4 linked regions of the Caenorhabditis elegans genome follow. The protein of the gene in region 3 purifies or fractionates together with the protein of the main gene of each other region. This does not show direct contact. Each region holds a gene or a part of one and is shown on either strand. Other genes may lie near its edges. The genes, in order: mrps-26, rsp-3, ugt-49 and csn-3.

The links.
Region 1: the proteins of ugt-49 (region 3) and mrps-26 fractionate together in Caenorhabditis elegans (co-fractionation; one large-scale study listed by BioGRID). This does not show direct contact.
Region 2: the proteins of ugt-49 (region 3) and rsp-3 fractionate together in Caenorhabditis elegans (co-fractionation; one large-scale study listed by BioGRID). This does not show direct contact.
Region 4: the proteins of ugt-49 (region 3) and csn-3 fractionate together in Caenorhabditis elegans (co-fractionation; one large-scale study listed by BioGRID). This does not show direct contact.

Annotation. Positions count from the first base shown.
Region 1 is NC_003281.10:5,231,474-5,239,628, reverse strand, and holds mrps-26 (Small ribosomal subunit protein mS26), read right to left. Parts: upstream 5,013-8,155; 5' UTR 5,012-5,012; coding exon 4,850-5,011; intron 4,558-4,849; coding exon 3,952-4,557; 3' UTR 3,942-3,951; intron 3,570-3,941; 3' UTR 3,265-3,569; downstream 1-3,264. Other genes in the region: prx-10 (Tryptophan--tRNA ligase, mitochondrial), read right to left, coding at 1-78, 124-231, 352-816, 1,184-1,393, 1,440-1,490; prmt-5 (Protein arginine N-methyltransferase 5), read right to left, coding at 5,411-5,482, 5,531-5,749, 5,974-6,145, 6,765-7,246, 7,524-7,929, 7,974-8,155.
Region 2 is NC_003281.10:12,686,201-12,693,899, forward strand, and holds rsp-3 (putative splicing factor, arginine/serine-rich 3), read right to left. Parts: upstream 1,717-7,699; 5' UTR 1,707-1,716; coding exon 1,537-1,706; intron 1,490-1,536; coding exon 1,102-1,489; intron 1,036-1,101; coding exon 817-1,035; 3' UTR 501-816; downstream 1-500. Other genes in the region: spin-4 (Major facilitator superfamily (MFS) profile domain-containing protein), read left to right, coding at 2,127-2,166, 2,222-2,376, 2,429-2,569, 3,634-3,992, 6,198-6,341, 7,583-7,699. UniProt on the Caenorhabditis elegans protein: Plays an essential role in embryogenesis.
Region 3 is NC_003283.11:10,368,644-10,376,865, reverse strand, and holds ugt-49 (UDP-glucuronosyltransferase), read right to left. Parts: upstream 4,546-8,222; 5' UTR 4,527-4,545; coding exon 4,301-4,526; intron 4,256-4,300; coding exon 4,142-4,255; intron 4,097-4,141; coding exon 3,780-4,096; intron 3,731-3,779; coding exon 3,560-3,730; intron 3,514-3,559; coding exon 3,354-3,513; intron 3,249-3,353; coding exon 2,659-3,248; 3' UTR 2,605-2,658; downstream 1-2,604. Other genes in the region: sri-20 (Serpentine Receptor, class I), read right to left, coding at 6,998-7,097, 7,146-7,260, 7,306-7,618, 7,668-7,886, 7,937-8,065, 8,119-8,222.
Region 4 is NC_003282.8:190,240-199,175, reverse strand, and holds the start of csn-3 (COP9 signalosome complex subunit 3), read right to left. Parts: upstream 4,435-8,936; 5' UTR 4,399-4,434; coding exon 4,392-4,398; intron 4,336-4,391; coding exon 4,210-4,335; intron 2,337-4,209; coding exon 2,067-2,336; intron 1,416-2,066; coding exon 1,105-1,415; intron 62-1,104; coding exon 1-61. Other genes in the region: intk-1 (INTaKe), read right to left, coding at 5,112-5,282, 5,860-6,399, 6,445-6,549, 6,599-6,694; pnc-1 (nicotinamidase), read right to left, coding at 7,097-7,291, 7,926-8,534. UniProt on the Caenorhabditis elegans protein: Component of the COP9 signalosome complex (CSN), a complex involved in various cellular and developmental processes.

The sequences.
Region 1 (8,155 bases), on a different chromosome or scaffold from region 3:
TTTCAAATCTAAAGTTGTCCAATTTGAGAAGTCGATCTCTGATGTTTGAGTTTTGGTGACTGCCGAATAGAGATCAAGCTGGAAATTGGAAAATTAGGTTCTGAAATTAATTAGAGGACATACCAAATTGGAAACAGCTAACCGGTTTTCCTTATCATATGTCACTTTTCCAGCATTGTCACTTTGTGCTTTTTGACATTTCTCGATAATTGTGGAACGGCTGTCTGTGATCTGAAAAGGGTACTGTAGATGAAACTTGCTATAGTTTAGATTCTTGATTCAAAGTGTCAATTTCTTAAATGCTGTTCCAAAAAATATGTTTTTGTTCAGTAAGAAATGTGAAATTATTACCTCAATACGACTCCTCGGTCCTCCTGATGATTTGCTCATTTTCTTTTCAGGTTCTCTTAATGATCGAATTCTTGCATGAGATTCTCGTGTTAACTGCTTTGGAATCGGAAAGATTTCAGTCTCATAAGTTTTATTAAATGCGTAAGCAAGTCCTCCAAGAAGATTTAAATGTTGACTTTGATCTTCTCCAACTGGAACTGTTGTGGCTTTAAATGTAAGAACATCAGCTGCTTGAAGGAGAGGATACGTAAGGAGTCCAACTGGAATATCACCTTTTTTGAATCTTTCTTTTTTTTCTTTATATTGGGGAAGTCTTGCAAGTTTTGAAGTTGTTTGAAGTGAACCAAGAATCCATGAAATTTGGGCAATTTGAGGAACATCTGATTGTCGGAAAAGGAGAGTTCGGTTTGGATCAACACCACATGCAATAAGACTTGCTGTCATTTGGTGAGTGTTTTGGCGGAGCTGTAAACATTTTTTTATTAATTTTCTAAACATTTGTTTTTAGATTTTCCAAAAAGAAAAAAAAAGTTTAAATATATTGTTTTTTGTTCAATTTTTTCGATTTTCCGTAAAATTGAAAAATCAAAAATTTCGATTTTTAAAAAATAAATAAAAATATTTTATTTATAGTTTTGAAAAATAATTTTTCAATAGAAAAAAAACATTATTTTTTTCGATACTAAATTGTTACTTTTTCTATTTAAATAATCTAAAAATCTAAAATTTCCGTTTTCCAATGATTCTATACATATTTTTCTTCGATTTCCCGGAAAATCAAACATTTTTGTTCCGAAAAAAAAACGAAAAAATTGATAAATTTCTCCCCAACCTCATTTGCTGGAAGTGGTCCAAGTGAAATAGCGTGTTGATCAACTACAGATAACATCATAAGAATATTCTTATCTACAGAATTCTGAAGTTCAGTCCATGGCTCAATAGATCCAAAGAAATTGCCGAGATGTGGAATTCCAGTTGGTTGTATTCCAGTGAAATATATTGTTGGATGAGTTGAAGTGGAAAGTAAACGGAGATTATTTGGCTGAAAATCATAATTTCTCATTTTCTTCAAATTTGTTACAAAATACCTTAAACCCGTAATTCAAGAGATGCGAAGTGAATTTTCCAGAAAATATCATTATTACAAATTAAGTAAAGGCGTGACGTCACGAGGTTGAAATTCCAATCGACACTGTGGGCAACGAGCAGATGAAGTTGAAGCGGATGACGTGGCAGCTACTGCGTGCTCCTGAATACACGTCCAACAGAATAAATGTCCACAGAAAAGAGCAGATGGATTCTTGTTTTCAAGACAAATTGAACACTGGAATGTTGGATGAAATAGCTGAAAGAAATTGTTATTTCAAAATTATTATATGCTCGTGAAAAACTCACCGAATTCTCGTCTAGATTCCTATCCGATCCTCCGTTGTTTTCTTTTTTCTCCTTTTTCAATTTATTATTGAATTTCTCCTGTTCTAGAAATGAATATAATGATATTCCAATACTAACTGCCAATTGAATTAATGTTATATAACCAAGGAATCGATAAACTTTCAGCGCCTGAAAACTTTAAATATTGAAAAGCTTAATGTTTTTGTGGCAAAAATACGGTACCCGGTCTCGACACGACAAATTTTTTGTTAAATTTAAAAATGTGTGCGCCTTTAAAGACTACTGTAATAATTCGCGTCTGGGTAATGAAACCCAATAAAATTTTGAAAATCTATCTAGATTGGGAGTACGGTAGCTGGAAAGTCTCACTCGTGCCGGGACCCAAAATGAGACTATCCACTTAACGTACAGGAATATCCGAATGAGCACTGGCTGATAAAAATCGAATTCCAGTGAATCTTCTGGCGATGCTATAATATGCTCCAGTTATATAGAAAAGAGCAATATGAGCACGTTGAAGTTGTGGAAAAAGTTTAGTTCTCAACCAGAAAAACACGTCAAGAAATGATTGACGAGCTTTTTGATTTTTTCGAATCGGAATTCCAAGAAATGATTCAGTTGATGGATGTGTAAGTGTTGATTCTGCTTTCTGTAAACTTATTTTCACAAATATTTTCAAAAAGAAACTATGAAAATCACCTGAATCAAATAATTTGAAATTAATGGAAATGCTGAATGAAGAAGAACAAAAGAAATCCGTGATGGAATCGATGGAACTGTTCGTTCAAGACCGTTTGATTCAAATAAATGAACGTATTCCTCGCCAAGAGTTTGATTTCCTGAACGAAAATGGGATTTCTTGATTTATGATTGAAATATTAATATTCTGACCTAATACAACTGTGCTCGTATAATAAAGAGTCGATGCGATGGATTTTAAATACGGAAACCACCGAATCCACGTACGTTGGCCCAGAAGCTCTTTGCTGACCTAGAAATTTAAGAAATTCAAATAACTAATTTTTTATCACAAAAACAGTTTGGCAATTTGACTTATTCCTGTTGTGTAATTGGATTATTCTCGTCGCGACAAATTTTCTGTTAAATTCTAAAATGTGTGCGCTTTTAAATAGTACTGTAGTTTCTTAAATTTTCAACCGATTGTTGTTACTTAAAGTTATTTTCTAAATGTCATGTGTTTGTGGAAAAATCTGTGAAAATTCCGCAAAAAGAGATTGTGAATTACTGTAATCTTTGAATTTAAAGGCGCACGCCCTTTTACATTTAACAAAATTTTGTCGTGTCGAGACCAGGCACCGTAATTTTCAAAAAAAAAATCTAATCTAATTTTTTAATTACCCTGCTCAATCTTTCTGTAATATCTTCAATATACTCTTCATCTCTTCGCTGAGATCTCACAATTTCCCCAATTTCAGCCACATATGTGTTCATTCTTCTGATATTTTCAACCGGCTGAAATCCGAATATTTTAGACAGTCAAATTAAAGAAAGTAAAATGAAACGATTGTAGATTTATGAAAAAAATCAAAAACTTATAACAGCAAAAGTCTATCTAAAGGGAAAATGTCTAGAAAACTGGAATTTGAAACAGAGAAAAAGAAAACAAAAATTGATATAATTTGTATAAACTCAAAAAGGGAAATAGAATACAAAAAAAAATAATGAGAAAGAGAGAACAAGAGACGGAGACAGAGAACAGTTATCTTATAGTGTTATCATCCGAATTAGGAAGAAATGTGTGTAGACTACAATGTTGTCCCTTTTGGGAAGAATGATGATGACCAGTTGGGGAAATGGCAAATCTGAAATAAAAAAAGTAAATTATTAGGTAAACGAAAATATTGATTACAGAAAATATTTAAAAGTGTAACACTTTTCCAATTATTTCATATTTTTTTCTCACAAACTACAAGTTTATATTGAACATGGATGTCGTCGAAAAATTTTCGATTTTCGAACTGAAAAATTGAAATTCGTAAAACTGGAAAAAATTGTAAGGAAATATAGTAGTCTAGTCTATAGACTTATCAAAAAAAGTTGATTTTTATGTAGAGAAATTACCAGAGATGAAAATTTCATTTCTTCAAAAAATTCAAAAATTTGAAAACAAAAATATTACTACATTAGAAGATTTTTTTATTATTTTTATTTTTCGATGTTCAAAAATAACTCACATCATGTCCTCTAAACACTTTTCTGTTGTATCTTATTAGCTTCTTCGATAGTTCCATGTTGTGTACCCAATGTCTGATCATACAATCGTCCTTTTTGTCGAGTTGGTGTTCCTTCTTGATATTTAACTGGTTCAGGTACGAAATACTTGTTCCCAGCCCGATCAATTGCAAAATCGTAAATTGTTGGCTTTTCGAGTGCTTCGAGAATTTTAGTTTCAAGATTTGAACGAGTAATGAATTCACTTGAACGAGAAATTGCATTTTTAACTTCATCTTCTGCCTGCTTTTTGCCTGCATTTCTTTTCTCCAATTCAACTCGAATTTCTTCCAAAATTACAGATTTTGTTTCCTTCGCATCTTCGGCTTCTCGTTCTTTACGTGCCGCCCGTTTTTCTTCATTCCGCTTCTCATTTTGAGCAATTAATTCGTCTAATTCAAGTGCTTCTGCTTCTTTCATTGCTTCGATACCCTGACCATGAGATGCATTTTGAGCAAGTTCTGCACGGAATACTTCTCGAAGTGAAATAACTGCATTGTTGTATGCATGACGACGCCAGAGGAGCTCCTCGACATCTTCTGGTTTCTGCCATGGAGCATGCACAACGTGGTAGAGAACCTGAATTTTGTGAATTTATAGATAAGAGTAACAAAATTTAAAACTGTTAAAAATTTATAGAATTCTTCTAAATTTTTCAATAAAAAGTTGCACGTTTTTTTGTTGCAAGACTGAAAAAACCCATTTTTAAGGAGTTAGAAAAATACTGTAAATTTTCTAACAGTTATATTCGGTATATTGAGACATTTTCTGTCATTTTGGGAAAAAGCCCCGCTGGCGCATTTTTTTCGGCAAAAATTGGATTTTTTTATGTTCCAATTTTTGTTCTAGTGAAAAAATCAATAGAACTCACTTTCTTCGATGGAGGCAAAATTGGTGGTTTTCCCTGCTTTGGTTGCCGTCGTCCCATTTGTCTCTTCTGTACTCCGAATACTTCGTCCATTTGTGACATGGCAGATGCCAAAAGACATCGTCCCGTTGAAGAAATTGATAAACGAGAACTGTTTATCAACATTCTGAAAATATTTTTAAATGAAAAATAATTGGGAAAACTTTAAAATCTCTATAAAAATATGTTTTAGTATGAAAACTAATAACTATAATTCAAAATTACAAAAAAACAACAGAATAAAACAAGCTCTTTAATTCGGAAAATTAACGGAAACTTAAAAACTGAATTTTTAAACAATTAATATCGAATTAAAAGGAGCAACAATCGAATCGCGATAGATACCGGAGCAAAAAAGAATCTTCAAATTAATGAACCGGAAAATGGGCAACAGGAAATGGGAAAACCAACGGAAAAAATTCTAGGAATGATTGGGAAATTCAATAGGGGCGCAAAAGTGAATAACACATCAACAATTAGGATTAAAACAGGAAAATAATAATTATAAAAGCGAAAAACTAGGCACTACATTCTCATGTAATAGCTCTCTCCATTTGGATTCTGGATCGGGGTGCTCACAGATTCGCCATTGGTTTTCTGGAAAAAACTCAACTATAATCTTAATAAGTTATCAAAAACTGTTACCTTTTTTTCAACATGCCATTCGTACCACACACCAGTATTGTCAACTTTTCGATCGATTTTCAGAGAAATTCTGTCACCTTCTCCAACTCTCAATTGATCTCTAAGTGGAATAACAGCTGGGAACCAACTGACCATTCCAGGTGTATGAGTTGATGGTTCAATTGAAAGCATCACGGTTTTGTAGAGTTGAAGATCAAAGTAGCCGGCGAATCCCATCAGCTGAAATAAATTAGGTTCTAACTTATTTGATTTTTAATTTAATAAACACATATTTTATCAATAAAATTTTTCAATTCATTGTTTTATTTTCAAAGGTGGACTGTCATTTGTGCGAATTTTGCATTTAATATAAGCAAATTACCTCAAATAATCAACGAAAAAATATTTTTAAATTTTCTTAAGAATTTCTAAGTTTTTTTTTTTTTTTTTGCTGAAAAACTTACATCTGCATTTCTATCCATAACAAATTCAATAGAATCGCTTCTCTCATTGCTTGAATTCATGAAATTTGGATGTTCAAATGTGAATACTGGTTTGGTGGTTTCGGCAAGTGGAATGTATTTTGAAAGATATACAACGTAGATTTGATCCATATTGTTACGAACATGTCCTTGTCTGAAAGAAAATGTTTATTAAAATTTAAAAAAAAAGTTTTTATGCTTTTTTTTTAATTAAAAATTATTCTAAAATAAGAGTAAATTGAAGCATAACTTGTGGAGCGGATACTCCCGTCAAGAAAAGATGGCCTAGAAACCTCCGTGTACTCGGCCAGGGCCTTTATGTACACAAGAGTAGAAAACTTCAGAAATATTTATTACCACAACATGAATTTTAGCGATACTTTTTCTAATATTACGGTACCCGGTATCTACACGATAAATATTCGTTAATACGAAACTTTTTGTACCTTTGAAGAGTACTGTAATTTCAATATCCCATGATTTTTCATAGTTTTTTAAATAAAAATCAATATCAATTTATCAAAACTAAACTAAAATAATAAAATGCCAACCAAAAAAAACTATAAAAAATTAATAAAAACTCTGCAGCAACAAGTCTTAGATTACAGTATAGTTTAAAGGTGCACACGTTTTCGCATATAACAAAGATTTTTGTTTGAATTTTTTTTTTAATTTTAAAAATTTTGTCTAATCGAGACCGGGACTAGCAAAATTTGGCATCGGGGTAATAAGGCAGAATGTTTATATTTTTATAAAAAAATTGAAAAACAAACGGGTATTTTTGAATCCACATTTCGTCTTCATCCAATTCCGGTTCACCTCTACCATGCGATGGAATTGCACGACTCAAATAAGGAATACTTTGAGCTTTAATTGTTTGATGAATATGAGTACTCATTATTGGCTTCACATAGCTAGTGTACTTCTGTGGAATTGAAATTGTTGTTGGCTTCAAAAATCCAGTGACACCATCTAGACATTCAGGACTCAACTCGTTATCTCCAAAACTTCCAAGAAGTTCCGAAACAATTATGTCAGGTTGTTCGAATCCACGATCTTTCGCAATTCCCGGCAGACTTCGCATATCACTTTCAATAATCGTTACTCGTCGTTTCCATGTTCTCACATTCATATATTTCAGAGTGACGATTGCATTTGGATTCTTTTCAACAATATAAAGCTTCACTTTGAGACTTTCTTGGCCTTGTCGGAATGTGTTGTTGTATTCTCTTTCAGATTTCAGAATTTTCGTTCCCTGAAAAAAATTGAAATTTATAATATTTAAAACTATGGAGACGCATAAAAATGCCCGTTTTGATATTCATTTAGACCGAAAAACTGTAAATTGAAAAATGTTGCAGTTCGCTTCAGACAATTGGCAAAATTAACTGCAAAATGTTTGAATTTCCGGCTTGTCGCCAACTTCCAAACGAGACCCATGGTCAGGGGGTGGAGTGTTTTCAATTGGCCACAAAATATGTTTTCATGTCGAATTAAAAGGGACTTTTTCTACTTAATAGCCAAAAACTCACAATAGGACCACGTCCTCCTCCCAACAAGTAAATGACAACAGTTTTTCTTCCGTCAGCTCCAAGATCTTTTAATGCTCCAACTACAGCTTCTCCATACACGTCGTATTTAATTTGATCCTGCTCGAATGTATTATAAACTCCTGAATCCAAATTTTCAGACAATGGTTGAAGAGGTGCTTGCAAAACATCTTTGTATTCGATAACATTAAGATAATGAGTGGAGTCATTCGATCCTTCTCCAACATCAGGACGACTTCGGTAATTAACATTTCGAACTGCATGACGAAGAGCTTGAGAATACTCGGATTTGATAGAAGTATTGTACTTGAATGTATCCGTTGTGGCACGAAGAACGATCCGAAGTGCATCAGTTGTCCATAGATGTTTTAATAAATTTATGTGGGCACTGAAAAATTAGTATTTATTTGAAAATGTAATCTTGAAATTTACCTTGGAATTGATGCTTCTCCATTTCTTCCAGAAATAAAAAGACCCGATTCGATAACAAAAGCTGCTAGGGGCTCGGCCTTCCAACGGTCCACAAGTTTAAGCTCAGTAAGCTCATCGGGAAGTTCCGAAGAGATCGTCAAAGCCACTTGGAAATAAACACCACTGAAATTACCACAATTCTT
Region 2 (7,699 bases), on a different chromosome or scaffold from region 3:
TTTCTGTTTTCAATAATAATTTAAAAAAGTAAAAACACAAGTCAAAAATTCAAAATTTTTATTCGAAATTCCAAGTCGAAACTCACCTGGCTGATTCATTTTTGTGAGCCGGGAAGCGGGTCACCGGCTCACCTGAACATGGCGGATTAGTTTTTTCTCATATTCGAGGGGATTTTCCTAATAGATTTCGGGGTTTTCGAACCCAAAACTGTAAAATTTTTCCTTCTTTTTACTCTCGTCAGGTCAAAATTTAACTAAATTATGTTCCTAACAATACCCAGGGGGCAAATCCAAAACTTTTCCCATAAAATCCTTTTTCCGGGGGTCCTAGTGTGTGTGTGTGTGTGTGTGTGTCGATTCGAAAATCGTGTAAAAACCGATTCGATCCTCGATCGATATGGTGTGTCCCCGCTTTTGATCGTCCAGCGATCCTTTAGTTTCCCTCCTTATAGAGTCCTCCTCCTTTCCTCCAATAGTTTGAATGAAGCGGAGTGGAGGCTGAAACAAAACATTTTATTCGTGGTTCCTCCAACAAAAGAAATTATTGAATAATAATAGGTGGGGCTGATGAATACTTGGATGTGGTTGTTTGAATTAAGGATAGGTGATAAAAAATAGAAGAAATTGTGGATATATATATCCAAAAAGATCGATAAAAAGAAAAAGGTGTGTGTAAACAGGAGAACATGAGGCATGGAATTGTATTAGAAACAGCACAAAAAAAAAGAAATTAGCAAGATATAGTTGTATCAGAACTCTCTGTCAGACGACTCAAATTGCAAAACGATACCGTTTCAAGAATCAGACGCTGTCTCTTTATTGTGGAGATGGTGAGCGAGATGGACTGCGACTGGCCGAGCGAGAACGAGAGCGGGAACGGCTGCGAGAGCGGGAACGAGAACGACGAGGTGAGTACTTTGGCGAAGCACGACGTTCGGCTCTTGGAGAGCGCGAACGGCTACGATCACGGCCACCACCACCGCTTCCGCCTCCAGAAGAGTTGTCCTCACGAACGCGAATGTAGGCAGTTTCACCCTGAAAAAGAAAAATTTAATTCAATTTTTGATTTATTTTATAGTTTCAAAAATAGTAAAAACTCACCTCATGTGATCTGAACTTGGTGTCATCAAGCTTGCGAACAGCGTACTTGACATCCTCGTAACGAGTAAACTCGACGACTCCAGTTCCATCTCGAGCCACATCCGCATAGCAGACGTCTCCAGCATCACGCATATGATCCTTAAGATCCTGCCACGACCCGGTTGGTGGAAGACCTTCAACGATCACTCGGTATCCGGTTCTTCTCTGAGGTCCACCTCCACGACCACCACCACGTCCTCCTCGGAAGTCTCCACCGCGGTGATCACCTCCGTCTTGGAGTGGGCGACCGCCTGGGCCACGTGGTCCGACTCCACGAGTGAACTCGACGCGAATGCGACGGCCATCGAATTCGTAGCCATCGCGAGCACGAACCGCATCCTCGGCATCTCTGGAATAAAATTGATTAATTAAAGTATTTGAAATCAATAAACGAACCTGTGATCTTCGAACTCGACGAAAGCGAACGCCGGTCCACGTCCTGACTTGATATCGACGTACTTGATGCGGCCATACTTGTGGAAAATGTCCTCGACTTCCTTCTCTCGGACGTCTCCTGGCAGGTTGCCAACGTAGACTTTTTGGTCCTCTGAGCCGCCGCGTGGCATGTTTAGTACACTGAAAATGAAGAAATAATTATGATTATTTGCAAAAAATCGGCGACTGAAGATTATTGATAATAAAAAAAATACTGGGCCTAAAATCCTTCAAATTACTGCATTTACTTGACTGAAAAGAAACCCAGAATCGAGTAAAATTTAGAAAAATGAATATTCTCAAGCATTTCTTCGAAAAAATAATAAAAATTGTCTGAAAAAACAAGAAATGAGTGTGCCACGGCCTTCGTTTTCGAAAAAATAACGACCGCGACGCGACCGCAACGCGTCATATGAGCATTCTCCCGCCAAGTTTGAACGAGTTCGGTGGAGCGCGCCTGCGTTATTTTTAGTCACGTATTTTTTTATTTTTTGTGGTTTTCGGTTTTTTATTAGAAAATAAGAAAAAATAATAAATTTCAGAAATTCTAAATGCCAAATGAAATTGAGGAAGGCAGTGGTTTGGACGTTGGTGAGTTTTTAATCGAAAATTTAATTATTTAAATCGAAAAACTTGATTTTTTCAGCCTCCCGACTTGCTGGAAAGAAGAAATGGGTTACTTGTTCCATTCTGCTTCTCGTAAACCTGCTAAACTACATGGATCGATACACAATCGTGGGAGTTATGTCGCGGCTTGCAACATTTTTCGATATCGACGATAAGGGGCAAGGCCTTTTGCAAGTAAAAATTGAATAAAATTGTGGAATATTAATTAAAAACCGAATAATTTCAGACAGTTTTCATTGTGTTCTACATGTTTTTCGCGCCATTATTCGGATATTTGGGTGATCGATACAATCGAAAAATGCTAATGATCACTGGAATTTGCATATGGATTTTAGCAGTCTTTGCATCGTCTTTTTGTGGGGAAGGGGTAAGGGAAAAGGGAAAAAAACGATAATAGAAAGGAAATAATGTTGGAATAAATTACTAAGACAGTCTGAGCCCACTTCCAGTGGTAGATCAAAAGGCGGAGCCAAAAACGCGGGAAAATCGCGGTCTGGAGGTCAATGAGCCCGATGGGAAGGCTCTAGAGGTCAATCCAATAATGGAATAATGACACCGAGAAGAGAGAAGATAAAAAATGACGTTTATAACGCTTTTTTTGGCAATTTTTGCAAAAATCATGCGAAAAATGCTATTTTGTGGCAAATTTTCACTGGAAATACACAAATTCTGAATATTTTGCCGCGAAAATCGAATAAAAAGAGAAAAAAAAGAATATTTTTGTAAAAAAATTCCTATAAAAAGCGGAAAAATTACCAAAATTCTAAGATATTTTTTGGAATATCAAAAAAAAAAGTGCTTCAAAATTTTGAAGAAAAAAAATTTAAATCTGAGTTTTTTGGGGCAATTAATGCATTTTTCACCAAAAAAAGAACACAAATTTGGATTTTTGTGAAAAATATTCTTTAAAAAAGCGGAAAATGTCCAAAATTCTGAGAAAAAACTAAAAAAAAAAAAAAAAATTTTTTTGCAATTTTTTTGAAAAATCCCTCAAGTGAATAATGCGTTTTTTCTCCAAAAAATTGATTTTTGTGAAAAATATTCTTAAAAAAGCGGAAAATGTCCAAAAATCAGAAAAAATGGAGTTTTTTTTTCAATTTTTTTGAAAAATCCAAAAAATACTGATTTCCGGCCATTTAAGATAGGGCTTCCAGGTAGGCGTTGAAACGCCTGCCTGCCTGACCTCAAGGTGACCTTCGCCTGCCTCAATCTGCGCCTTATGCTCTTTGATTTCACGCAGGCCCTGAGCCATAATTTTAGCTTTAAAAAACCTGAAAAAAATGGAAAAAAAAACATGCAAAAGGCGATAATTGAGAAACTTTTTCAATGAAAAATGGGCAAAAAATGGTGATTTTTGGGACAATTTTTCGTGAATAATGCGTTTTTTTACCCTAAAAAATTGATTTTTTTTTAATTTTTAAATAATTTTAGCACTACTACCTGTTTCTCCTGTGCCGCGGAATTGTTGGAATCGGAGAAGCCTCGTACTCCACAATCGCTCCAACCGTCCTATCAGACCTATTCAGTGGTGGCCTCAGAAGTCGAGTACTGATGATGTTCTATTTTGCAATTCCAGTTGGAAGTGGTCTCGGATTCATTTCTGGGTCAAGTATTTCACAGGCAACAGATTCATGGCAATGGGGTGTTCGATTTTCTCCGATTATTGGAATAGCTTGTCTTGGATTGATGTTATGGTTGTTGGATGAACCAGTGAGGGGAGCTTGTGATGGAGCACGGCAGAATGGAGATGAAGCTGATTTGATTGGCGATATTAAGTACTTGATGTCCATGTTAGTGTGCTTATTATCAGAATTTTTTTTGATTAAAAAAATCGGAAAAATTGAAGAAAAAAAATGCGTTGCTGCGGAATTTTTTAAAGTGTAAATTTATTTAAAAGTTCAAAAATAGTGTGATTTTTAAGTTTTTGGGACTATTTTTTCGACATTTTCGAGCAACAAAAATTCATTTTTAATTTAAAAAAATGCGTCTCTATATTTTTATTTTTTTTAATTCGAAAATTTGAGATTAAAAAATTTATATTTAAATGATCTAATAGTTTTTTTTACTAACAATTTAAAAGTGGTGTAGTTGGATATTTTTAAAAAATTACTTTATTAGACTTAAAATTGTCTGAAAACACCGAATTTTATATTGAAACTTCTTGAAAACTTCTCAAAAAACAAGTTATGACGGCTCAAAAAATGGCCTAAAATTAGTTTAAATTTGAAATTTGACTTGTCGCAACGGCTGGAAACAATTTTTTTTTTTGAAATCACCGTCAAATTTTGAGTATACAATGTAATTATCCTGCGTTTTCAACTTCATTTATGTATTTTAAAGTCGATGGACAGCGAGATTTTTTAATTTTTGAAACCAAATTTCGCCGTCCATCGGCTTTGAAATACCTATAAATGAAGTTGAAAACGCGAGATAATTAAATTTTATACTTAAAATTTGACGGTGATTTCAAAAAAGTTAGTTTCCAGCCGCTGCAACAAGTCAAATTTCAAATTTTAACTAATTTTAGGCCATTTTTTGAGCCATCATAACTTTTTTTTGAGAAGTTTTCAAGTAGTTTCATTATTAAATTCGGCATTTTCAGACAATTTTGAGTCTATTAAAGCAATAAAACTATGTTACGTCTATGTTAGTTTTTATTAGGAAAAAAATTCAAAAAAATTGTTTAAAAAAAAAAAATTTACTCGGACAAAATTTGAAAAAAAAATTAAATTCAATAAAAATGCCCTGATTTTATATTAATTTTTTAAAATCCCAAAATCCATTGGTATCCGTTTTCATATCAATTTCAAAATCGATTTCAATCTTTTCCCATTGTTTTGCGTTGAAATTCATGACTTCCATTAATTTCTGACTTTTTATCAATTAAAACAGCCAAAATTGCATGAAATATTAATAAAGTTACAAATTAATGGAAAATCACTAGGATTTCAAAGTAAAACAACGAGAAAATCGCTGTGAAAATTTAAAAAATTAAAAAAATGAATGAAAAATATTTGAAATTCGAATATTTTAATTTAACAATAGGTAGCCAATGGATTTTCGGATTAAAAAAAATTAATATAAAATCAGGGATTTTTTTCTATTTAATTTTTTCACATTGATATTCGGTATCAGGAGAATAAATAGGGTGTATAGAAAAATTTTAATTTTTTGCTTCAAAACATGTCTATGGTACCACAATATCATAGTAAAAAAATTTTTTAAAATTTTCTAAATTTTATATGATTTTTTGAAAATTGAAAAAAATCTCAGTTTTTGCCTAATTCCCATTTGAATTACCGCCAATCGTTCGATGTTCGATGGAGCGCGCTTGCATGATTTTAATTTTAATTTAACAATTTCTCTCATTTTTGACTGATTTTTCATGTTTTTTTTCGAGTAATTCTATTGGAAATTTAATGAAAAATTCAAGATAAATGTAAATTTTTCACTAAAAATAATTGAAAACAGAGAAAGAACATTTTCCAACGACGTTGAGCCTGAAATAATCTATTTCAAAGATTTAGGCTTGAAAAATTTACATTTATCTTGAATTTTTCATTAAATTTCCAGTAAAATTACTCGAAAAAACATGAAAAATCAATCAAAAATAAGAAAAATTGATAAATAAAAATTAAAACAGAGGCAACCGCGCTCCATCGAACATCGAACGATTGGCGGTAATTCAAATGGGAATTAGGCAAAAACTGAGATTTTTTCAATTTTCAAAAAATCATATAGTTTAGAAAATTTAAAAAAATTTTTTTACTATGATATTTGGTCATTGTGGTACCATAGACATGTTTTGAAGCAAAAAATTAAAAATGTTCTATTTTTTTGGCTCGATTTTGTCGAAACAAATTGAAAAAAAAATTTCAAACTTTTTTAAAAAGAAAATTACAAAATTCAATTTCTTAAATCGAAATTTTTTCGAAGTAAATGAATAAAATCGCTAGAAAAAGTTATTTAACAAAAAAAATATTAATAATTTGTAGTAAAACATTCTACCTCGCCTCGGCCGCCTCAATTGCCTCATTCTTCTCAATTGGAACAATGAGCTGGTGGACTCCACAATACGTTGGATTCTCGTATGCAGTTATTCATAATGTGCCAAAAGTACCGGAGACGGAGCTTACACAGTAGGGTTTTTTGAATTCAAACAAATATTTTTTTTTAGATGACAACACAATTTTTGCACGTGATTTCGTCGAAAATTTGTGTGAAAATTTTGAGAAAAAAATCTAATTGAAGACTATTTTTTGCGCTTGTTAAGTATATTTTCAATCGAAAATTTGCATTAAATTTATTTATTTTTTTCAAATTTAAAGTGAAATTGCACCTGAAAACATGGAAAATTGGTTTAAAAAAATAAGAAAAAATAACAATTAATTTATAAAAAAAATTTCCGGCAAATTCCGGCAACGTGCCGGTTTTCCAGAATTTCTAAATTCCGATAAATTGCCGATTCGCTGGAAATGTTGAATTCCGGCAATTTGCCGATTTGCTTGAAATCTTAAATTCCGGCGATTTGCCAGTTTGCCGGAAATTTTAAATTTCGGCAATTTGCCGGTTTGCCGGAAACTTTCAATTCCGGCAACTTGCCGATTTGCTGGAAGTCTTAAATTCTGGCATTTTGCCAGTTTGCCGGAAATTTTAAAATTCCGGAAGTTTGCCGTTTTGCCGGAAATTTTAAATTCCGGCAATTTGCCGGTTAGCCGGAAATTTTAAATTCCTGCAATCTTCCGCTTTGCTGGAAATTTTAAATTCCGGCAACTTGCCGGTTTGACGGAAATTTTCATTTTCGGTAATTTGCCGGTTTGCTGAAAGTTTTAAATTCCGGCAATTTGCTGATTTGTCGAAAATTTTCATTTTCGGCAATCTGCCAGTTTGCTGGAAATTTTAAATTCCGGTAATTTGCCGGTTTGCCGGAAATTTTAAATTCCGGTAATTCGCCGATTTGCTGGAAATTTTAAATTCTGGCAATTTGCCAGTTTGCCGGAAATCTTAATTTTCAGCAATTTGCCGGTTTGCTGGAAATGCTTATAGGGTTTTTATATGACCGAAACACGTAGAACGGTGCTTTTTTGAAATTTTTGCCTGTTTTCTTTAGATATTTTCATAGAATTCGCTAAGTTTTCAAAATAGATGTAGGAACATTCATACAATTTTGCCGATTAAAATTGAAATTCTGAAATTCCCAAAAAAATGTACAAAACCACAATTTGCCAATTTGCTGGAAATTTTGAATTCCGGCAATTTGCTGATTTGCTGAAAAAAATTATTTTTTACAGTTATTTTGGCCCATTACGGTCTATTTTCTGCCATTTAAAGCAAAAAAAAATTCTGACACCACTCCACCTCCAAATTATTTAATTTTCAGAATCAATCTAATCTTCGGAATCATAACATGCATGGCTGGCCTATTGGGTGTCGCTACAGGCTCAATTTTATCACGAGCATGGAGAGATGGTAGCTCAATCTTCCGTAATCATGCCAC
Region 3 (8,222 bases):
TGTAGTGTGCAAACTGTTGAGGAGATAGAATATAAAACAAAATATCAATTTGTTTTCTTTGAGTTTTTAATATTCGATTGAGATCTCTTCTTACAGCACAGAAACTTGAAAGCATACATGAAAACGTGAAGAACAGCAACGAACACGAATAGGACAAAAGCAATAACATCAAGATTATAATAAACCAGCCGTGGACCGCACCTCCGGCGCGGCCCTCGACTTCTGGAGCTGAAAACCAATTTTTCTGAAACTACCGTAATCATACAGTACTCCTACGTACCACCATTGTACCACTACAGTACCCCGACTATATCCCTACACTAATCCCAACTCACTATCCCTCCAGAAGCTAAAACTTCGCAGACTACAAAGACTACATAGACTACAAACTATGGACAAACGGAATAAGCGCTTTATATATAGTAAATGATAATTGTATTTAATCTTGATCCTTCCACGTGTAACTCTTCCAAAACGCCATGATCAATTGCAAATTGTGTCCATTTTGTAAGGCGTTCTTCTGGACTGAATGGCTTGTCCCTCATCATTTTTCCAATTCTTATCGCATTTTTCTTGTAACTTGGAGTTTTTAAAACTGCCCAAACTGTGTCTTTAAACGATCGCTAGCCAACATCCCATTTCAAAAGAACTTTTCAACTAATCCATTAATTCCTCCATGCATTATAAAAAGTTTCAATCTTGGATTGGAGAGAAGATCAACTTGTGGAAACCAATGAACAAGATCAACATTGGATATTTCTTTGGTCAACGTTTTAGTGTTCGTGTCATCTTGAATGAATTATCTTGCATTGTTGTAATAAATTCAAAATCTACCTTTGGAAATTTTAATTAGGAAATGATATTCTGACAATTCACTAATTGCACGGAACACTTCTTTTTTAATATTAACTGGAAAATCTCCGAATTGCACAAATGATCCTAGCGATATTATTATAACACCTCGTTTTCCTTTGGACATTATTTTGGCAAATACCTGGATAATTTTGGTTTCGGGATGTAGCTCAATCTAAATTTAAAAAATTACATTGTCCAAATGTTGGCTTATGTTCGGAGTCCCTAGACCACCAACATAAATAGTTTTAGTAATAGTAAGCCTTGGTAAGTCAAGTACTTCATCGGAATTTACAAAGCAAAGTGAAGAGTTTGCAGCGATTTCTCTGACATTTGGGAAGTCTGGGATGTACTTACGAAAAACCTGTAACCAAAAACATATTTTCCGCTGCTAGATATACCAAATTACCTCTGTTGTGCTATCAGTTGCATATCTATGAATAAGGATAGCTCCAATTTTCATATACAAGCTGAAAGTTCTCTGCCAAAAATCCATCTTATCACCATTGTCATTTTCTTCGATTGTTGGAACATACGAACTTGGTGCTGGAATTCCCAAATTATAACTGACTGCATCCATAATTGGTGTAGTTGAAATCCATAAATGATTTTTAATTCCAAGATATCTGACAATTCTAACTCCACACAAATCAATTTGTTCACTGAATGCCACGTCGAAGTTGTAAGCTCTCAGTTGTTCTAATTCCTCGCGTCTCGCCATTAAATCTAGATTTAAAATATTCGATTTGGTGTTCAAAATTTTGAAACAAATTACCATCACAAATATCAGAGAACCATTTTTCGTACATAATCCTTTCCAAAAAATTTGCTCTTGGATTAGTAATAAGGTACTCCCCAATATCGTCCATTGAATTATCATTGTGCTTCTCACCTGAATTTCAAATCAAATTTTAACAATCCACGTACCACCATACTAAATCCTTTCATAGTGATAACTTTAGCCTTCTTAGTTCCAGTGAATTCAGTTAATGGTTCATATTCAGTAATGAACATAACAACATCGTGACCTGCGTCAACGAGTGCATCAGCAATTCTTCCATTTGAAATTAAATGACTTCGACTAATGGATGGACTGTACACAAGAATAGAAGAAAAAGAACAAGAAGAAGGAGAAGAATAACTAATAAGGTCATAACAGTCACCTGCAACTTTTTCTAAATCAATAATTTTTTAGAATAAAAATTTAAAATGGGTTCCAAAATACTTTAAAACTGATTAGAACTGAACCGCAATATAATAAGACAGAACATTTGAAAAGTATACAACCTGAAGTTTATCAATTTATATAACTTTTTCATTCTGGCGGTGTGCTACTCGTTGTCAACTACGGTTTTTGGCAGAAAAATGTCGTGCTTTGTAAACGCAGAATGTTTTATTTTCAACAGGAAAAAAGATGATAATAATTGGAACACTAATTGATGGTAGAAAGTGGTTTCTTCAATTTTAAGGCATTGGTTGAAAAATCTAGCAGTGGAAGATGTTTTTAAGCTGTCTGGAATTTCCGTTTCTTGCACGATTCGTTTAACCCGTTGTTTTGGGCCACAAACAGTTTGAAACAAATAGAAATTCAAAAGCCAGACTTCAGATTGTCTGGAATCCGAAAAAATACCGGCCGGTACCACATTGACGCTTTTAAAATTTTTAGAATGAGGCCATAACATTGTAGAAAAGATTAAAGTCTACTTTCTATTTTCGTTAAGTCTTGTATGCTTAATTCACCTGAACACCTACTGGAAAATAACATTTATTTTTAATATTTTTATTAAAAGAGACTATAAATATCAGCTAATTATTTTTCTTAGATTTTTTAATATTCGACTGAGATCTCTTCTTACAGCACAGAAACTTGAAAGCATAAATGAAAACGTGAAGAACAGCAACGAACACGAATAGGACAAAAGCAATAACATCAAGATTATAATAAATAATTGTATTTAATCTTGATCCTTCCACGTGTAACTCTTCCAAAACGCCATGATCAATTGCAAATTGTGTCCATTTTGTAAGGCGTTCTTCTGGACTGAATGGCTTGTCTCTCATCATTTTCCCAATTCTTATCGCATTTTTTTTGTAACTTGGAGTGTTTAAAACTGTTAGAACTGTGTTTTTGAAGCTTTCATATCCAATATCCAATTTCAGAAGAACTTTGCCAATTCCTCTCTTTTCAACCATTCGTCCATTTCTAAATTGATCAGCAAAAACAGGAACAATTACAGTTGGAACTGCCTGGATAGCTGTTTCAACTAATCCATTAATTCCTCCATGCATTACAAAAAGCTTCAATCTTGGATGAGAAAGAATATCTACTTGTGGTAACCATTCAGCTACATCCACGTTTTTAATTCCTTCGACCAATTTCTTGGTATTATTGTCGCCTGCAAAAAATTAGTATCTTGACAAATTACTATGGGGGATTTATTTTTAAATTCTTCTGAAGCTTCTGCACTATTCGATGTACTCTGGAACCGTCAATTATTTACCTTTGGCAATTTTAATAAGGAAATGATAATCTGATATTTCCTGGATTGCACGCAATACCCCTTCCTTTGCCGCTGCTGGTAGATCTCCAAATGGTATGATTGAACCAAGTGAAATGATTACGACACCTTCTTTTCCTTTTGACATTATGTTTGTGAACTTCTAAAAAACTATATTCAGATAATTTTAAAATCAAATATTGTGTAACCTTATCAAGTGGTTTGCTAACTTTTGGAATTCCCAATCCACCGACATAAATTGCTTTTGTGATAGTTGGTCTTGGTAAATCAAGTACTTCATCGGAATTTACAAAGCAAAGTGAAGAGTTTGCAGCGATTTCTCTGACATTTGGGAAGTCTGGGATGTACTTACGGAAGACCTGTGATTAGTGAAAAAGATTAGTTTTAGGTTAAATTAAAATAAACTACCTCTGTAGTTCCATCAGTTCCGTATCTATGAATAAGGATTGAACCAATTTTCATATACAAGTTGAAAGTTCTCTGCCAAAAATCCATCTTATCACCATTGTCATTTTCTTCGATTGTTGGAACATACGAACTTGGTGCTGGAATTCCCAAATTATAACTAACTGCATCCATAATTGGTGTAGTTGAAATCCATAAATGATTTTTAATTCCAAGATATCTGACAATTCCAACTCCACACAAATCAATTTGTTCACTGAATGCCACGTCGAAGTTGTAAGCTCTCAGTTGTTCTAATTCCTCGCGTCTTGTCATTAAATCTAAATTTTAAAAAATGTTTCGAAAATAATATTGGGTCTTGTCACCATCACACGCGCCTGTGCACGTTTTCTCAAACATTAATCTTTCCAAAAAGCTTAATCTGGAGCTCGATAATAGGTATTCTCCGATTCCATCCATGTCTTCAGCAAACTTTGTACCTGAAACAGTGTTTTTAGTGTTGTTAGAGTCAAATCATAACTCACTAAATCCTTTCATAGTGATAACTTTAGCCTTCTTAGTTCCAGTGAATTCAGTTAATGGTTCATATTCAGTAATGAACATAACAACATCGTGACCTGCGTCAACGAGTGCATCAGCAATTCTTCCATTTGAAATTAAATGACTCCGACTTATGGATGGACTGTACACAAGAATTTTTCCTGCATCAACTGCTAGAAGAGATAGGAGAAGAAATAAAAAGGTATACATGCCCAAGATGGATCTGAAATTCAAAACGTTCAAATTCACGTATTATCAACTCCTGAAACTACTGAAAATAAAAAAAAGATTCAATAGAATGCACATTCGAAAAATCGAATACGAACGTGAAATATAACAATTATCTTACTGTTAAAAACACTTTGTGTGTCTTATCTATAAATTCTTCTATACCCATTTTCATCGAACCTTTATCAATTTAGTGAAAGGTCGATAAAATTCAAGAAGCTACAAAGAACCACGTTTTCACATGAATAGTACTAGAAATTCAACAAAATAAAAATTAAAAAAAACAAGAGAAACACACAGTGAAAAATGAAAAAAATAATCGAATCATGGAACGATTGGCAGCGGAAACAGAAATGAAATATGAAGGGAGAGAAATGGCAGACAGTAGCACCCTAACAATTTTCATTTCAATGAATCAGAATTCATTGGAGAATGAAGAACAAAAAATATATGAAAATTATTTTTTCACCTACGAAATCACAAAATGAGAAATCTGAAATTACATTTGATGGTTCACTTTTACAAACTCGAATAACCCATATTTTATAGAAAAATTTAAAATGCAGGTCTTTAATTTTTTAAGTTTTGATATTTTTAAAAAATTGGTTTCTTCACTTCTTAATACTGAAAGGAAATGAAGCATTATGGGAGAACTTTGTTCGTAACTTGTTCTTTAGGAAAAAAATAGTGCAGATGTCGTCTGGCACAAATTGATTCAACAATGATCTCGACAGTATTTTGACTTATTGGTCGAAACATCTACTCTAAAAAATACCGTGTTTTGTAGACTATTTCTAGTGAGTGCTTGTAGTGGTTAGACATAAGAATTAGATGGTGATACAGAGAAAACACAACCATTCACTGATACATTGACAGTTTTTGGACAAATAGTGACTGATGACAAGAATAGAAAATGACACGGGAACAAGATTGTTTGATAGGTAGAACCCGAGAATAGATTACTGATACGAGAGAGACGCAGATGGTTGTTGTGAATTGTAATAATTGAACTACATGTGACACGGCGAGAATGGTTATGGGAATTTTTGAGCGATTTTAAGATCCTGAGAAAAATGTTTGGGCGTACTTTGTTGGCAAACATGAAACAAGTTTACCAAACGAGGGAATTTTGTGGGGTAAGGTATGATTCCTGAATGCCAGAACGAAAATTCAGGTTTTTAATTCTTAAGTTTTGATATCATGAAAAAATGAGTTAGAAAGTTGAAGAGTATGGAAGAAACATACGCGTCTAAATAAGATGGAAAAACTCTATAATCTTCTGCAAGTATAGATAAGATATCAAATTCCTATTATGGACTGTCACTTATTTATTAGATATACCATTTACCTACACTTGTAAATCATATCTTATCTGCCAAGTTGGTACATCCTTACTATTAGTCTCAGGTCCTGACAATAATGATTTCAGAAAATCCCAAATGTAGTAAACCTTCGAAAAATAACTTATTCGATTTTTGAACTTTGAAAAGGGTTTCGGGTTATTCTCTGCAAACAAATACAAACAGCTTTCCTATCTGAAATATATATTTCAGATGTATACAGAACATGTAACGCATACACTCTAGCTACCTTATTACTGAATTTCATTGAAATCCCTATTAGTACTGCACTCTAATAGCTACTTTTGCAACACCAAACCGCAAAAATCCAAAGATTTCCAATACATATGTTTTATCAGTTTATAGTCTCATTTTTCGCCCCTATTTTTGGTGCCTTCCTACTTAAAATTCCGATTGGTGTACCAAAAATGAGTAGTCTCAAAATCGTAATATATCCTTTGTTAGTCTTAACAGTCTTCTTAACAGAACAGGCACTCAATAAGACCAAATGAAAAATAAATATGTACTAATTGGAGAAATACAGTTTGCTGCCTTTATGGAAGTTTCAAAATGTAAAAAATCCAAATATCCATATGATATCGAAGTCTCAATAATTTGATTTTGTTGAATTCATTGAACTTTTACAAATGTAATCCATTCGTCTGAAATATTCTTTGTCTGAAATATTTTTGAATGTCCTATTGATTTGAGAACATCATATGTGCTAGATACTAGAAGAATTGGCTGGCTGCAAAAATTCTCATTTTGAAGTATTGCCATATCTCAAGTTCATAACTTCGAATTGTGCTAATAAAATACGAAATCTAATACAAAACACAGAAATCTATTGACGTCTGTCAAAATTCTAATTGTATTTGTTATTTCAAATGCCCTGTAAATATCTGAAAAAAACGGAAGTGGATTAAAAAATTAATGAACAATTTAATCGGATTTTTGCAATATGAATTTTGTAAAATTTCGATTCCGGGTTATCGAAATGAGTGAAATCACAGAAGCTCAAGAGATCTGGAACTTTCAATTTGAAATAATAAAACAGTATCATCAAAAGACGAAAAAGTTTATTTACAAGTTTGAAACTCGGGAAATTAGAAGTTAATGGGTTGTTATTGTTACTGCAATACTTCGCTCCGTTTGAATTCTTGTATTCGGGAGAGTAGACCGTTGATATTGAGATGATGCGAAGTGGAATGATCTGAAAATATATTTGGTTATTGAATTGTTAGAACCTGTACACTCGAACCTGTTCGTTTTCCATAGCATTACAAAATGTCTGTATGGAGGATATGTGATAACCATTACAATTGCATTTGCACTGGAATGGAGAGTTAGAGCAACAATGGTCCAATGTGTTGCTACTGAAATAGTATGTGTTATATTGAATGCCGTGTTATAATATATACCTTGACTATGTTCATATCTTATAACTACCAGTAAAGAGAACAAAGACGCTGGACCAACAATCAAGAAACACGTTGTAAACTGAGCTAAAAGACTTCTCAAAGTGGCTCGATGCTTTGCATAGTTTGAAGCACTGATATGTTTTCGATTATCGTCTAATATTTTGAACATTTGATAAGTAGTTGTGACAATCAAAACAAGTGTATATGTACAACCAAAAAATATGAATGCAAAGAATACAATTGCCCATATATTGGAATCAAATACCACGTAGTTTGGTAGACTTGCAAATTTATCAACGAGATTTGGGTAAACCTGCAAAACAAAAATAATTATTCGTGAATTTAATTTTGAATTCAATTACCGATTTCACCAATTCAACTTGTTCGGACTTATTGAGCATGCTCAAATAAAGTAAAGATGCAGCAATAACTGGATATATATTGAGTAGAAATATAACAATGCAGTATGTAACATTATCGAGAAGATATTTAGAGCTGATTTTAGAAATTGCTTGATGCTTCCGAACAAAGCAACTATTCAAAGCACTGGCTACCAAGCAAATGGTAAATGCAGTATATGTCTGAAAATTTAATTTCCTTTTTTTCAATAAATTTTATTTGATATTGCTACCGTTTGAAATGAATCGTCAATTCTGAAAATTTGAGTCAAGAGTCCAGTACAATATCCTCCAAAAACTGGGAATAATGGAATGAACTGCATAAAAGTAGATAGATGAAGATCCATCAACCATCCAGCAAACTGAAAATGCATAAACTGTATCAAAAATAGTTGTTTTTATAATTATGGAATACCTGCATATAAAATAGATAGAATCGATATCCATCCATTTTCCCACTTTGAAACAAAATTATGTACATTGAGAAAAATGAAATAACAGTTGACACCACGGAAATGA
Region 4 (8,936 bases), on a different chromosome or scaffold from region 3:
CATATTTTGGATGAAGATGAGGATTATGTGCCACTGGCTGTGAACCGAATGCGGCGCCTTTCTGAAATAATTTTAAAAGATCCAGAAAAACAATTTGAACTGAAAAACCCAAAAAATTCCATATAAAATTTGTTCTTTAAACGAATTTAGTTTTTTGATGTTCATTTTTTATTCATATTTTTCGGTTTTTTTTATTTATAAACTTCAGAAAACTTTTAGTAATTTCAAATTTTATTTTTAAAAATTCAAGAAAACATTTTGATGTGGATTTACAAACCAGACTAAAATTTAATATAAATTTTTTTTTAAACAAATTTTTATATATTTTTTAAATTTTCATTTCATATTTTTCAGGTTTTTTTTGCAATATTTCAAAACTCAAAGAGCTCGAAAATTTAGTAATTTCAGATTTTATTTTAAAAAAAAGTTTTTTGCAACAGAAAACATTGAAAATGTCCCATTTTTGCGTTTTTTTGTCACTTATTTCCGAATTTTTCGGAAAAAAATATTCAAAATATAGTTTTCTTCAGATTTTACTGAAAACCCAATGCAAATGTTCAGAAAATCGCGTTTTTTTAACTTATAAAAATATTTTTGTAATTTTCGTTAACTTTTCAGCTTTTTAAATGTTTTTAAAACCAAGCAATTTTAAAAAAATTTAGTGTTTTGGAAGCTTTTTTGAAAAAAGTTTTTTGGAACAGAAAAAAATTGAAAATATCCTATTTTTGCGTTTTTTCGCACTTTTTTTCCGAATTTTTCGGAAAAAATTGGTTTTCGTAAGCTTTCACTGAGAATCCAGTGTAAATATTCAAAACAATCGTTTAAATATAATTATACATGTATAATTTTCGTTAACTTTTCAGTTTTTAAAAAAATGTTTTTAATCCAAAAAGAATTGAAAAATATTGTTTTTGGGGGCAATTATCAGTTTCTAGACATTTTTTTTCCAAATTTGCGTGTAAAAAACCTCAAAAAATGATGTATTTTCATATAACGTTTCTAACTTTTTTTCCTACAAAAAATACCCATTTTTAAAGGTTTTTTCACACGAAAATTTGAAAATATCCAAATTTCCAGATATTTCTTTTTTCTTCCATAATGCACCTTCATTCTTCCAAGAAAAACATCTCCAAAATCTCGTTCTCTATTATCACTCTTTTCCTGATCTTGAATACAATTCTCATTTGCAATCTCATCAACATGTAGATCAATAAATGGTTCAACAGATGCATAATCCTTTGTTTCAAGAGCACACGCAAAGAGCACACCGTGTGCAGAAGTGAGCACATTTGGAGCATTTGAGCCATTTCTTGGGAACATTGATCCGAGTGCTTTCATGATAATTCTTTGTCCTATTTCTGGTTTATTCTTCTTTTCCAAACAATATAAGCCGACGTCGCGGAGCAGTGGGAAAACTGAAAAAAAAATTTTTTTTAGAGGGAAATTGGAAAAAATTACATTTTAAAAGTTAAAAAAAAATCAAATTTTCAGTTAAATTTTCAATTTTTGCCTAGTTTTTCTTTAAATTCGAGCTTATTTGCCAATATTTTTCAATTTTTCTTGAAAGATTTTTCAATTGCTCCATTCAAAAAGTGAAAAAAAAATCTATGGAAAAGTGACTTTTTACAAGAAAATCGTTAAAATTTGTCATTTTTTCACTAAAGAATGCATTTTCAGACAACTTTTTTCTGTGGAAAAATTCGGATTTTCGAATTTTTTTGAGGACGAAAAATTAGGAAGTTCTTAGTTTTTTAATTTTCAGTCTGAAATTTATAGATTTTTGAGGGAAATTGAGAAAAAAAAAATAAAATTTAGGAAGAATTATAGGAAGAAGGAGAAATTTTCAGTTAAGTTTTCTATTTTTGCCTAGCTTTTCTCTAAATTCAAGTTTTTATTTTTATTTTCCTTTGAAATCCGACGTCTTTGACTTTCTGCTTTAAAAAAAAACGGAAAATTCGGCGAAGTGAAGCTGCATTTTTCTCTTTAAATCTAGATTTTTCGCATAAATTCCATGTAAATCATCCATATTTTCCAGTTTTTCTTCTCAATTTTATCTAGAAACTCACTAATTTCAGGTACAAGCTTCAAATGTCCTCCAACAAAATTATTCTCATCAACATAATGATTGAGAAGCTCAACAGCTCGATCTGTTCCAGTTTCATTATTTTTTGCAGCCGACGTATCAAACATTCCTTTAATTGCAGCAACCATTGCAGCTGAACCAACATTTGGACTACAATGAAGCAAAAATGCTTCAACATCGTTCGATTTCTTTTCGAAAAGCTCTTTATTCTTACGAACAATTCCAGCGGCCAGTTCACCAACATTCTCTGAAACTAAATACGGGAAATTAATGCGGAATTCTGGAAAAAATAGGCTTGACGGTATCCTTAAATTGAATTTTTTTTTAAATAAAACAAATTTTTTAATAAATTTATTTTAAAGCGGGATTACAGTTTGTGGGTATTCTGCTTAAATAGACTACAACTGGTCCAAAACCACCGAATTTAATAATGAAACAAAAAATTTTCAACAATTTTGTATGGATTTTTGGTTGAGGCTTAGGATTTTTGGGTGAGGATCAGGATATTTCGTTGAGGCTACCATGATTTTTGGTTGAGGCTAAGGATTTTTGATTGAGGCTCAGGATTTTTGGTTGAGGCTACCAGGATTTTTGGTTGAGGCTAAGGATTTTTGATTGAGGCTCAGGATTTTTGGTTGAGGCTACCATGATTTTTGATTGAGGCTCAGGATTTTTGATTGAGGCTCAGGATTTTTGGTTGAGGCTACCAGGATTTTTGGTTGAGGCTAAGGATTTTTGATTGAGGCTCAGGATTTTTGGTTGAGGCTACCATGATTTTTGGTTGAGGCTCAGGATTTTTGATTGAGGCTCAGGATTTTTGGTTGAGGCTCTCAGGATTTTTGGTTGAGGCTCAGGATATTTCGTTGAGGCTACCATGATTTTTGGTTGAGACTCTCAGGATTTTTGGTTGAGACTCAGGATTTTTGGTTGAGGCTACCATGATTTTTGGTTGAGGCTAAGAATTTTTGGTTGAGGCTCAGGATTTTTGGTTGAGGCTACCAGGATTTTTGGTTGAGGCTCTCAGGATTTTTGGTTGAGGCTCAGGATATTTCGTTGAGGCTACCATGATTTTTGGTTGAGGCTAAGGATTTTTGATTGAGGCTCAGGATTTTTGGTTGAGGCTACCATGATTTTTGATTGAGGCTCAGGATTTTTGATTGAGGCTCAGGATTTTTGGTTGAGGCTACCATGATTTTTGGTTGAGGCTAAGAATTTTTGGTTGAGGCTCAGGATTTTTGGTTGAGGCTCAGGATATTTCGTTGAGGCTACCATGATTTTTGGTTGAGGCTAAGGATTTTTGGTTGAGGCTAAGGATTTTTGATTGAGGCTCAGGATTTTTGGTTGAGGCTACCATGATTTTTGGTTGAGGCTCAGGATTTTTGATTGAGGTTCAGGATTTTTGGTTGAGGTTCAGGATTTTTGGTTGAGGCTACCATGATTTTTTGGTTGAGGCTCAGGATTTTTGGTTGAGGCTAAGGATTTTTGGTTGAGGCTTTCTGGATTTTTGGGTGAGGCTCTCCGGAATTTTGGTTGAGGCTACCATGATTTTTGGTTGAGGCTACCATGATTTTTTGGTTGAGGTCAAAATTAAAAAAGGCATATTAGTGCAAAAATCAGAAATTTTGCCCAGTTTTCTTTGTCGCAGAGACTGTAATTCAACTTTTCTGAAATTATCACTTTTAATTCACATTTTGGTAATTTATCTTGTGTAAATTCATTGATTGAGACAATTTTTAAGCGAAGAGACATCCAAAAATGATAAAAATTGGATGCCTCACGGTTTAAAATTGTCTCAATCAATGAATTTACACAAGATAAACTAATAAAACTTAGATTAAAGAGTGATAATTTCAGAAAAGTAAAATTCCAGTGGCTGCGACAAAGAAAACTGGGGACAAAGAAAAAATTTCAGATGTCAGCAAAATTTGGCTCTTTTTTTTCGGAATTCGATCCCTTTTCAGATGATATTCATCAATTTTTCACGAACTTCTACGAGAATTTCGATGGGTTTTTGAATGAAATCATTCAAATTTCCCGAAAATTTCAGCGAATAAATACATTTTCAAGTTGAAAAATTGAGAAAATCACTAATTTTCTTCTTTTTCCAACAAAACCCTCCAAATTACCATGTTTTTCACTGCAAAGCTCATTGATCGCAGCACACAATGACTCCATACTACCAAGATCCATTCCAGAAGAAGCTGCTGCAGACGATGATGATGAGGCTCCCGTGAAGAGCTTATTGAAAAAAGCTGAAAAAGCTTTTCCGATTTTTTTAGAAAATTTACAGGTTAAATAATAAACTTACTTGTCATGATCCTTTTGTGAATGGGATTTTCCTGTGATATCTGAAAATATTTACATTTTATCGTGAAAATGTGTGACAAGAAACGAGTAAGAGAAGATATACGAAAAAATAAGAGAAAATTGCACAGGGAATGGCGATTGGTGAGAAAATTTAGAGAAGAAACCGAGAAAAATATAGAAATTGAGTAAAAATCGAGCTTGTACAGGAAAATACCGAGAAATTAGTGAAAAATGGGTAAAATTTGGGGAAAAGAGAAAACTTTGCTAGAAAATAGAGGGAATCACGAAAATTTTAGGGTATTTCAGTTCAAATATCACCGAAAAAGCACCGTGTCAGGCATAAAACGCTGTTTTTTTGAAAATTACTTATAGAAAATACGCTAAACAACACGCGACGCGTAACATCGGAGCATCGTTGTCACGCTTTTCTTCGAGAAAAATAGCGTTTTATTCGTTGGCACGGTGCCAATTTCGGAAATTTTAGATCCAAAATCCCAGCTGATCTTGAATCCGTGGTGCCTCAAAACAGGTGAAATTCACAATATTTTCCTGCTCGGAAAAATTTCGAAAAAAAAATCGACAATACGGGGATTTTTCGAGAAAAACTGTGAGAAATGCCCTAAAAAAATGCAAATATTAGCTGGAAACGAAGAAATTTGGGTCAAAATTATAGAATTTTCAAATTAGAAAATGCGTGAAAAATTCAGGAAACATGATCGATTCAAGACGAAAAATACTCCTCGTCGTTATCGATTTTTTCAGTGCGTTGATTTTGAGAAGCGTCGTAAAATGGTACGGTATCGAGTGCAGAATGCATGTCAATCATATGAGTATTCATCGATTCGAATAATCGTTCGATTTCTCGTTCTTCTTCTGAATCATCCGAATCCGACTGAAAATATGGGGAATTTTAGTATATTCTAGTATTTTTGGATTTTTAGTTGAGGCTCTCTGGATTTTTGGTTGAGGCTTTCTGGATTTTTGGGTGAGGCTCTCCGGAATTTTGATTGAGGCCCAGGATTTTTGGTTGAGGCTCTCATGATTTTTGGGTGAGGCTAAGGATTTATGGGTGAGGCTCTCAGAATTTTGATGATTTTAATGAAAATTTGAGTTTTTTAAAGGTAAAAAGCTATTGGAATATTGCATTCAGCGAGTTTTTTTTATTTTTTGCAGCGCTAAATATCACAAAACAGATATTTTGTGATTCCTGGGACCGTTTTTTGGGACTTTCTGCTTTTTTTCAGATTAAAAAACTGGCGTCTGTCGCATTTTTTGTTAGTTTTTTGAGAGATCTTCGGAGTCGTTTAGCTAGAAAATAGACTGAAAATCGGATTTAAAAAAAAAGGAAAATCCTGCCAAAAACACATTTTCTAGATCACATTGAGCTTTTTACATTCCAAAAATCCCGATTTCTTCGTAAAATTGCACAAATTAATCCCTTTTTTATGGAAATCCGAATTTTTCCTTACAAATTCAAAATTCTCCTTGACACTCCTCGCTTGTTTTCTCTTTTTCCTCCTAGCCGACTCAATTTCATAAACTTGTAAATGAATATTCGACACATCTTCATGCGCTTCTTTCACTTTTCCCAACGCAGAAATCTGTGGAGCATCTAGCCATCGGAGCTCACCATTTCGAAAATCTTCCAGTAGTTTCAGCATTCCTTTCTCCTCGAATATCATACTACTGGGCTCCAGAGGCGATGGAGGCTCCCGAACAAGAGTCTCTGTCATTGTATTTGGATCCCATTCGTACATATCTGCGTCTCCTTCGTGTCCGAGCACTTTCTCGTCCAGAGTTCTCGATTCAAACCATTTTTCCTCGGATTCCGGGCTTATAAGCTTCTCGGGACGCTCCACGTGCTCTTCTTCCTCCTCTTCAACTATTTTCTTCTCCTCACGGTCTCCGCGCGTGAATCGATGGAAGAAATTAGTTATGGAGTTTGTAGTATCCTTTCGTTTGCGACCAATGTCCTCTGCCACTTTACTAGGCCGCAATTTCTTTTTGTCCTGAAATTTATTTATTGAAAATTAATTTTATAAAAACGTTTTTGCCTTGCTAGTAACTGTCAGATCATCGATGGACTCCGAGAGATCTTCGGAAAGCACAAAAGACGTCGATAGTGTCGTCGAAAATCCCAATTGATTGTTGAGAGAACTCTGAAAACAATTCAAAATTTTTTTTTAATTAATCGATTTTTCTGCCCACCTGCTCTTCATCCACAACTTCCACTTTGACGGGCGGCTCCGTGCCGTTAAACCGAATATCACCAGATTTCGGTGATAAACTCACGTCTCTAGACATGTTTTCGGGGGAAAACTAATTTTTTTACGAAATAGATTAAAAATTAGCAATTTCGAGTTTTATACTGGTTTTCAGTGGTAAATATTAGGAAATATGAGTAAAATGTGATTTCTAACAAGTATTAAATGGAAAAATCGTTAAATTATCGGGGAAAAAACAGGAAATTTCAGGAATAAGAAATGCGCTGAAATTTTGTTTACAAAATTGGTTCCTTCGAGAGGAGTACACGGCGCGTGGCCGAGAAATCGTGCTGGCGGCCGCGTTATTTCGGAGCGTCGTTTGATGCGAAATTACTTTTTTCTGAACTTTTCAACGAAAATTTCGACAATTAAGAAAAAAAAACGTTTATTTAAATATTTTTAAAAGAATTACAAAATTATGCACAATATTTTATTATTACTTCTACTTCTTCACGATCCTTTGAACCCATTCTCTCGGCAGAAAACCGCCTTCCGTGATTCCACGTGCCTCGTCTTTTGAGATCATCGCAACGCCTTGCTTTTTGAAAGCCATCTCAGACTCCTCGATTCCCTTCTTCGTTAGTCCAGCGCTGCATTCCGGGATCACGGCGGCAAGGAAGTTCTGCTTCACAGCGTCCTGAAAATTTAAAGTTTTGAGGTGTTTTTAAAGGTGGTGTAGTCGAATTTTTTTATTACCTTATTAGACTCAAAATTGTCTGAAAACACCGAATTTCATAATGAAACTTTTTAGAAAAAAGTTATGACGGCTCAAAAAATGGCTTAAAATTAGTTAAAATCGGAAATTTGACCAACTTATCAATGTCGCAGCGGCTGGACACAATTTTTTTTTGAAATCACCGTCAAATTTTGAGTATACAAGTTGATTTCCTGCGTTTTAAACTTGATTAAGGTATTTAAAAATCGATGGACGGCGAGATTTTTAATTTTTTTGAGCCAAAACTCGCCGTCCATCGACTTTTAAATACCTAAATGAAGTTTAAAACGCAAGATGATCAACTTGTACACTCAAAATTTGACGGTGATTTCAAAAAAAAATAGTTTCCAGTCGCTGCGACATTGATAAGTTGGTCTAATTTCCGATTTTAACTAATTTTAGGCCATTTTTTGAGCCGTCATAACTTTTTTCTGAAAAGTTTCATTATGAAATTCGTTGTTTTCAGACAATTTTGAGTCTAATAAGGTAATAAAAAAAATTCGAATACACCACCTTTAAACGGTTTTCAGTTAGAAAAGCTTTAAAAAACCCTTACCAGGCAAGTAAACCGAACGCAAATATCGTAGGCGAGTCCGGCGATCACAACTGCGTCAATATTCTCGCGACGCAGCAAATCTTCAAGCTCTGTCTTGGACCGCCCGTTATTATCGTTGAAAGCGCTGTAGGAATCCAGATATGGGTCGACTCCCTTCATAATATACTCTGCGTTGTCCGCAATGTAGATTTCCGGATGAATATCCGATCCCCAGCTCTTCTGAATACAATGATCCGGATATAAAACTTGTTCTGTCTTGATTGGTTTCAAAAATTGCACAGAATCAAAGAATCCCAAAGTTTTATTCTCATCCTTCTCATCCATAACCCTATCCGAATTATGTGCCTGACTCAAAAATGAAATGTGATTGTGTGGATGCCAGTCCTTCGTATAGACCACCAAATCCCAGGACGACAGCTGAAGCAGCTCGTTGAGTGGTGTAATCGCTGAGCTTGGCTCCTGTCCAGCGTCGCCATCTCCGATTTTGAGGGATCCATCGACGAAATCATTCTGGAAATCGACGACGAGAAGCGCGACACGGAGAGAACGTAGTCGGGAGAGTACTTCTTGATCGAACAGTACAGATGTTCGAAGATCCAGTTGGCGATTCTGCAGAAATAGTTCTCGGTTGGAAAAAAACATTTGAAAAGAAAACCCCCAAAGCATTGTTTTTTTGAGTTACAGTTTTTTGAGTACCAAGGAGAAAATCGACAATTTTCAGGATTATTCGTTTAGAAACCGAAAAATCGAAAAACTATTTTTATATAAAGAAAATCATAATTTTTTCAAATTTCTATTTTTTTTTTAAATTTTGCTTTTGCCACGTGGAATTGCAGATTTTCCAAAATATCAAAACTCACTTGGACAGAACTTTTTCGAACATTTACGAGGCTTATGTCACGTGGAATTTTTCAAGTTTAAAAATATTTAATATTTATGAAATGAAATTGTCATTGTCATTCAAAGGAGGACTAACGGCCCGGACGATTTTGACGTATAGACCCAAAATGG